Linked DNA regions of Drosophila melanogaster. The protein of the gene in region 1 purifies or fractionates together with the protein of each later gene. This does not show direct contact. Each region holds a gene or a part of one and is shown on either strand. Other genes may lie near its edges.

What was found.
Region 2: the proteins of CG17768 (region 1) and CG6610 purify together in Drosophila melanogaster (affinity purification with mass spectrometry, with the first as the bait; one large-scale study listed by BioGRID). This does not show direct contact.

The regions. Positions count from the first base shown.
Region 1 is NT_033779.5:10,402,663-10,407,190, reverse strand, and holds CG17768 (uncharacterized protein), read left to right. Parts: upstream 1-1,987; 5' UTR 1,988-2,054; coding exon of another isoform or gene 2,055-2,362; intron 2,363-2,436; coding exon of another isoform or gene 2,437-2,580; intron 2,581-2,640; coding exon of another isoform or gene 2,641-2,806; 5' UTR 2,807-3,195; coding exon 3,196-3,198; intron 3,199-3,258; coding exon 3,259-3,300; intron 3,301-3,362; coding exon 3,363-3,461; intron 3,462-3,634; coding exon 3,635-3,955; 3' UTR 3,956-3,994; downstream 3,995-4,528. Other genes in the region: Ir31a (ionotropic receptor 31a), read right to left, coding at 1-692, 754-1,238, 1,292-1,439; LSm-4 (uncharacterized protein), read left to right, coding at 2,055-2,362, 2,437-2,580, 2,641-2,806; Cnot4 (CCR4-NOT transcription complex subunit 4), read right to left, coding at 4,421-4,528.
Region 2 is NT_037436.4:6,073,853-6,076,777, reverse strand, and holds CG6610 (uncharacterized protein), read right to left. Parts: upstream 1,243-2,925; 5' UTR 1,139-1,242; coding exon 1,090-1,138; intron 1,018-1,089; coding exon 821-1,017; intron 756-820; coding exon 726-755; 3' UTR 520-725; downstream 1-519. Other genes in the region: CG13295 (uncharacterized protein), read left to right, coding at 1,661-1,745, 1,806-2,230, 2,289-2,925.

The sequences.
Region 1 (4,528 bases):
ACGACGGAAGACGTATAATAGTTGTACATAACCAGGGAGAATAGGAACAGTGTCATTACCAAAAAGCGCACTGAACGATCTACAGGATTTGGGTCCAATCCCTGTTGGCAGCAGGCTCCAAATGTCTGTAAAATTCGTTCAATGCATGTGGTCTTAATGCAAATCACCGAACTTTTCTGATTTAAATGTTCCAGCTTTTGACTATTAACTCGTATACGCAATATCTTGTAGTCGATAATTTCAAATAGCACCCAAATGATGCTAAAAGCACCAAGGGTTAATAGACAGAACAACCAAACTCTGTCGCTGAATGGCGACAGAAAGTTACCACTTTTTCCATGAGTATCCAAATCGGAAGTGTAGCGGTATAGAAAAGCTGTCTCAAATTTCCAACTTTGGTGTATGGTATCAAACTCAGCAAAGCGATTAATTCGATTGAAGGCACCGGATGCGGCTATATCTGCCTCATTTCGCATAACTATTCCCAAGAGTCCAAGTCGAAAGGTAGTATTGCCCAAACGTCCAGCCCATCCTCTAGAATTTCGGAAGTTAACAGTGAAATTGAAACGTTCTCTCAGAAGTCCCAGAAGCTCGTAGTGATACTTTATGAATGCAGCCACTCCAGCATCCTTAGTTGGTCGCGAAAGTATTGATTCAATTTGTTCATTTGAGATTATATCCTCCTTGTCGATCTAGTATCCATAATTGAAATGGCTAAAATCTAATGAGTTATAGTACTTATTCATTACTTACAACACTTGCTCCTCTTAGAGTTAATCCATTAAATTGTCCGCGAAAATCAATACTTTGCAAATGGAAAATATCGCGAGCTATATTCAATGTATCGTTTATCAATGTTGCTATTAAATTTATTTCCAAATTCGACTTCAAGTGTCGTCCTTTCGAATGAATATCCCAGTACGCATAACCATCTGCGGTTTCATTAACATAGGTTATCTGGGCGTTGGGACCAACATAGTTGAGATTTAAAGGAAATAGGGATTGAACCTCGAGATCAACACCCCAGAGAAACCACTGATAGGTTTTGTTGAAATACCTATTTTCAGAGGCTTCAAAAAGAAGTTCAGATGATCCACTGCATCTGGCATTTACCATCACAGAAGTTCGAGCGTAATTTTCCCGAGTCAATATCGATGTTAGTGAATAACTTTGGTTAAGGTTAACTACGCTCACAAATTGATTAATTCGCATCAATGCAAGAGAGATTTCTTTAAAATCTATCAATAAATATATTATGAATACCTTTATTGTAACTTAGCACATTGCTTACCTTTAAATAAACACGAAAACACTATTGCTTGCTTGGTTTTTACTAGACTTTTAACGAAATTAGTTACAACGGATTCTTCCATACTCGGAATTATTTCACCCTCGCCTGCAGCTAGTATTAAAATAAACATACTGATTAAGAGATTCATTTTACTATTGTTTATCCTGCTGGGAATGTTGTGCCATTTTATAGTAAGGTCTTCTGTTTGATTGACAGCATGAATTGCAGGTGCTAATTACCCATTCTAATTTCAATTGGTTCATAATTTACTATGCAGCTTCTATACCCTCTAATCAGAAATAATTTAATTGATTTAAAGTGTAGCTTTGATTGACAGGTAAAATTGGATCATAAATTTTTAATGAGAAAGTAAACTTCTCCCAACACTTATGGCAAAACTAAACCAGTTAGTAGTAATTTAAACAAAATTCAAGTGGGTAATAACATATGTAAATATTTCTTTAATAAACAACCGAATTATTGAAAATCTTTACCAAAACGGGTAACCTAATTGCAGTAAATTTTAAAACGCCAAAATAACATGTTTAGTTTCTTATTTTATTAAGGCTAATATCAAAAATCATAGCTAGAGTTTTTTTCTTTTTAATTTAATTTATGCAAATAATCCATTTCTGTTAATTAAAAACAAAAAAACAGTACGATTAATATCGATTGTGAGCATCGAATATCAAAATAACTCATATCGAAGACGTAGCATTTCTAGTTTGTTTATGTTTTTGTACAAAATTTATGAGTATGCAATATGTCGTCTACGTTTAGATATAATCTATTAAGGAGTGTAAAGCCATACACTTCATTCACTCCGCAATTGACTAAGTCTATGTTGCGTGTCCTTATTCAAGTGTCTGTGCACTACATTGAATCAAAGAAGTCTTCGTCGGAAGTGCTTTCCCTGGCACTAAATAAACTAACAAATGGAGGTCACGAAATCCCTCCGAACTTTTGTGAACTTTTTACAATGGTTTTCTTGACAATGCAAATCTTTTTAAGATATCCCAAGGGCGTGGTGAAGCATCATGAGCTGCGAAAATGTTTAATGGACGATTTAAAGTAAGTATTCAAATGCATACGTACTTGGAAAACTTGACCGTCACTAACATAATTGTTATTTATCTCGTCAATAGTTTAACAGAAGAATATGTTGAAGATATCTGCAAAGTTTTGCTTAACCATCGAGACGTACTGAGCAAGAACTTTTCAGATACTAAAATGGACCGTGTCAAAATGTCAAAGTTGCAATGGAGAATCAACATTTCCTTATCATTAAAGTAAGTATTTAACCTTACCGCTATTTTATTTTTACTTCACTTTACTAATTTATTTTCTAGTACCGTGCAAATTGATAAACCTACAATAGTCCTCCACTTCAAGCTCCAAAATAAGGAATATCGAACTTTAGAATTGCCACTGTCCATGTTTCAACAAGTGCGCTATAATATTGCTCTCTTACTAAATGAATTGCAGTCATTGCAAAGCCGGTTGGCTTTAAAATAAGTTACATGTTTTTTTTATCCATTTGGTGAAGTATTTAATCCGACTGTCCCGCCGACTGTCCTTTTTGCCATACTCAATCTAGCGCCTTAAAGCCGCCAAGGCGGTCACGCCCACACTTTCAAAACAATTTTAAAATCTTTTCTCCCTATTATTATCCCAGAAAAAGGATGAAATTTACACTAGCTGAGTAACGGGTATCTGACAGTCGGGGAAGTCTACTATAGCATTCTCTCTTGGTTACCATTTAAAATTATGTTATAAGAAATCAAAAAAAAACAGAACACGCTATCTTTATAAGCATGTGTTTCATATTCATTTCGTTCCAACAAAGTGATTGACATCTCTTCCGATTTCATGTTATCGCTGTATTAATCGATTACTTCACGAAAATGGTAAGCAATATTATTTTATGGTAAATAAAGAGAAAAATGATTAATTTTCATGTGTTTTAGCTGCCACTTTCACTTTTAAAAACAGCACAGAGCCATCCCATGGTAAGATGTTTGGATTTGCACACATTAGTCATACACATAATTGTTTAATCTAATTCACTTAGTTGGTGGAGCTGAAAAATGGTGAAACATACAATGGTCACCTGGTTAGTTGCGACTCGTGGATGAATATTAATCTGCGCGATGTTATTTGCACCTCAAAGGTAATATTTTAATTAAATATGTATGTATATGTAATTAATATGTAGATTGCCGGTGTGCAAAATATGCGACAACTGGTATATACATAAATACAATCGCATTGATTTGTAAACAGCCGGAAAAATGATAACATGAAGAGCTTGTTTATACCAATATGTGTATGTGTACTTTGCAGGATGGCGATCGGTTTTGGCGCATGCCCGAATGTTATATCCGCGGGAGCACCATCAAATATCTGCGAATCCCCGACGAAGTAATCGACATGGTCAAGGAGGACGCGCAGGCCAAGTCAAGGAATCGCACAGAGATGAACAAAAACCGCGGCGGCAACTCGTCGCAAAATCAGCGCGGCGGACGTCCTGGTGGCGGCAACCGCAACAATGTCGGCAATCGTCCCGGCCAGGGATACGGAGGTGCTGCTAACAACGCGATGCGCCTGGGTGGCGCTGCTGGCCAAGGGAACCGTCTGCCCCACGCCGCCAAAAATAGGAAATAGTTCTTCGGATCGTAGTAATAAATTCTTTTCAACCATTTCAAGTCACGTATTTATTATTAAAAAGTTGACATTTTTACACAGTCTCGATAATTTCACATCACGAGGTTTTCTTTGCTACTTATTGCCATGGTAATCTGTCTTTTATCCAGCGAGCAATTGGAATGAGTTGGTTTCAAGTTTGAAAAATCACTGGGGGCTTCACTATTGCCAAGCAGACTACACCCTGAACGGGGTTTATTGGATACTATAATTGGATTCATGCGGACACGTCCGGCGCGGGGAGACGGCATCCAAGTGTTTCGCTTGCTGCACAAATGCTTTTAGTAGGCTGAATTTCACTGGACCGTCTGTTTGTTTGTATCATGTAGTTTCATTATATTCGAATTTTATTTTGCCTATATTTACTTTAAGAAATATTTAATAAAGAGTACAGGTAAACAAATGTATTATTTATATGTATTGTAGCTAAACGAATTGACGGCTTTTTAAAAACTCAAGCATGCCCTGAACATTGGCATTGACCTGTGGCGGCTGCGTTTGTTGTCCGTTCAGCAAACTATTGGGCATCCCCAT
Region 2 (2,925 bases), on another chromosome or scaffold:
CGGTTCGGTTTTGTTGTCGCGTGAGTCTGTTTCCGCTTGGTTTGTTCCACTTCCGTCGAAGCCTGCTGCCGTACTGAACGCTGGAGGTGCCGAACGGAAGCGGGAGAACGCACGCAGAGCAGAGCGGTACTGCGGAGAGTGCACTGCACCCACACGCACGGCCAGAAGGGAAAAGCGGTTAATATTTATGGCACATGTTGACTGCTGTATCGCTGAGACCCAACATTTTGGGGATGGAGCGCATGCGCCTACTTTGCATGGCAGCCAGAGCACAAGTAGCGGTTGAATGTTAACGGAAAGACACTAAATATTTAATGTGAAGTTTGAATTTTTGAAGCTTGGAAGTCATTTTACAGAATTATTAGCGGTCGACCTTTTTCGGTATTCCATTTCAAGTGTATCCGGTCCCTATAAGCATAAAATATGCTTATTTATGTAAAATTAATTCTATTCCAATTGATAATTTAACAATGTTTTGTATATTAGGTAATATTATATAGTGTTTTATTCTGAGATTAGAGGGCAAATAATTTTCATTTCCTAAGCCAAGCGTTTTCAAATTCGTATCTGTTAGGACCAAAAATCTGTTAACATTGCTGTTAATCACTTGACCACTGCTAACTTCTAACATACCTCGAACATTTACATACGACACAATATTATCCACATTAAAACGACCGTTTTGATATTTTACAAATGTATTTATGTTTACAAATGGAACCTTGCTACTCCGCCAGCTCTCCGCCAGGCACCAACTGAAATCAAATTATAAATGAAATTTAATAAACAAACGTATGTAACTTCGAAAAAGAGCACCCACCATTGTGATATTGTTCCCGTTGAGCAGAATCTGATCCAGTTTGGTGATGCGGCGGCCGTCGGGGGTATTTTCATACTCCGTTACGTCGTCCAAGAGCATATTCACAAAGTCATCGAATCCTAAGAGAGTTCCCACCATCTCCTTGTCGTTCTTCATGATAATGTGGATGCGGGAACCGATGCATTTGTCCACCAATTCTGTAGGGTAGTACGGGAAGCCGGCAAAAGTTAGAAACTCTCGATTTGTAGACCTGTAGCAGATTTACGTACCCAATGGCATTAGGGTAGAGATGTTGGAGGGGGGTGGAACGGCAGTCATGTTGTCGTATGATTTGTTTACTATTATTAACAATAATAATTGGAATTGCGCTAAAAACTTTTTAGCAGCGAGGTAAACAATGCGGAATTCTGCGCAAAAACTGGCCACATCAAAAGTGTCAGCGTCAGTGCTGCAAAATCTTGTGGATAGAGTTAGCGTGAATATAGCTAAACGTTTAAAATTAATTAAAACATTTGTTTTCGTTGAAAACTAATTAATTTATTAATTACAAACTCATTAAAACTTTTTTATGACAAACTTATCAAGATTAACTATTTTATCGCAAGAATTTAAAGAACAATTTGTCAACATGAGGGACCTCAAAACACCCACCCAAACAGCCACCACTATTACCCAGATAGTAATGGATATTTGGCATTCAGTGCCGCGGTCCTACCAATTTTACCTCATAATTCAAGATCAGGAGTTATATATCCAAAATCTTAATCTCGCGGCAGTGCTCCCGTATGTTGGCCATCTGTGACGCGGTGCAGTGTTGTGCTGCCGCCCACTGCTTACATAATGTCCATGTCGTTGGGCTCCAAGATCCGGAAATTGGTCACCAGCAGACGGCACTTCCTGCTTTTGCGCCGATCGCTGAACCAAGGTCAGTTGATTTGAATGCGCCACAACTTTTGGATGATCATGTGATTGGGCGCTTTTGCAGATCTGACAACGGCGCTGAGACCCTTCTACTTCGCGGTGCATCCTGACTTCTTTGCCCAGCATCCGGAGCAGAGGAACACCAACGAGAACTCACTGAAATTGCTGAGTGAGCATCTAGAGGCTTTGTATGAACGCAGACAGCGAAGCGGGGACACCCAAGTGCTCAAGTTCTATGTACGCACCAGTTCAGATGCTGACAAGCGAGACTCCTTCAAGCTCATCCAAATACGCACGGACTGGCAGAGTACCCGAGATCCCAAAACCTTTATTCAAGGTCTTCTGGAGTCATGCAACTTGTCCACGGAGTATGTGAAGAACATTAAGGCCCAGCCTGAGCCGCCAAAAACCTCTGGCTTGGATTTTAAACCAAGCCATGACTATCACTATGACATGGAGTTCGCCGAGTTTGAAACTCAGTTGAAGAATGTTGGTATATAATTTTGAAATTTAAAAAACCATTTATATACTTATTTCCTTAACCCAGGAACGTGCCAGTAAGCGTCCAGTGCTGACCACCTGGCTGGAAGAGAATGCTGGCACAGCCAAACAGCGCTCTAAGGAAACTGCGGATCTGCAGGCCGAAATCGACAAACTGAAAAAAATGCTGGTAGAGAAACTGGAGTTGCAAGATGCTCGTTACGAGTGCGGCTGGAACATTGAGCACTACCGTGGCTGTTTAAAGACCCTTGAGCGACTATCCAACACCCATTTGTTGGAAATGGCTTCCCTGAAAGGTCGCATAGTGGTTTTTGCTCCCTTTACGGGCATCAGTTTAGAAGGCCATGTGATGCTTTTTACTGGTGATGTTCTCAGCACATGGATTGACTTCATCAAGAACATTCCGCACCACGATGCCTATTTAAAGGTGGTGCCCGTGTATGAACGAACACTGTCTCAGGTTCTACTGAACATCCAGATAGGTCGTCGCAAGTTTATGCCCAAACAACAGGCAAGTGGCTATGCAAGCTACCTCATGAAGGTCACCACTTCGCTCAGCGATTACCTGGGCAAACAAAAATATCCGCCGGAATGGCCGAAAACGCTGAAAGAGTTTACCATAGTGGTGGAATCAGAGGCAGGTCCTCTGATGGTAAGCCCTACGGGCCAGTTTATCACACCAG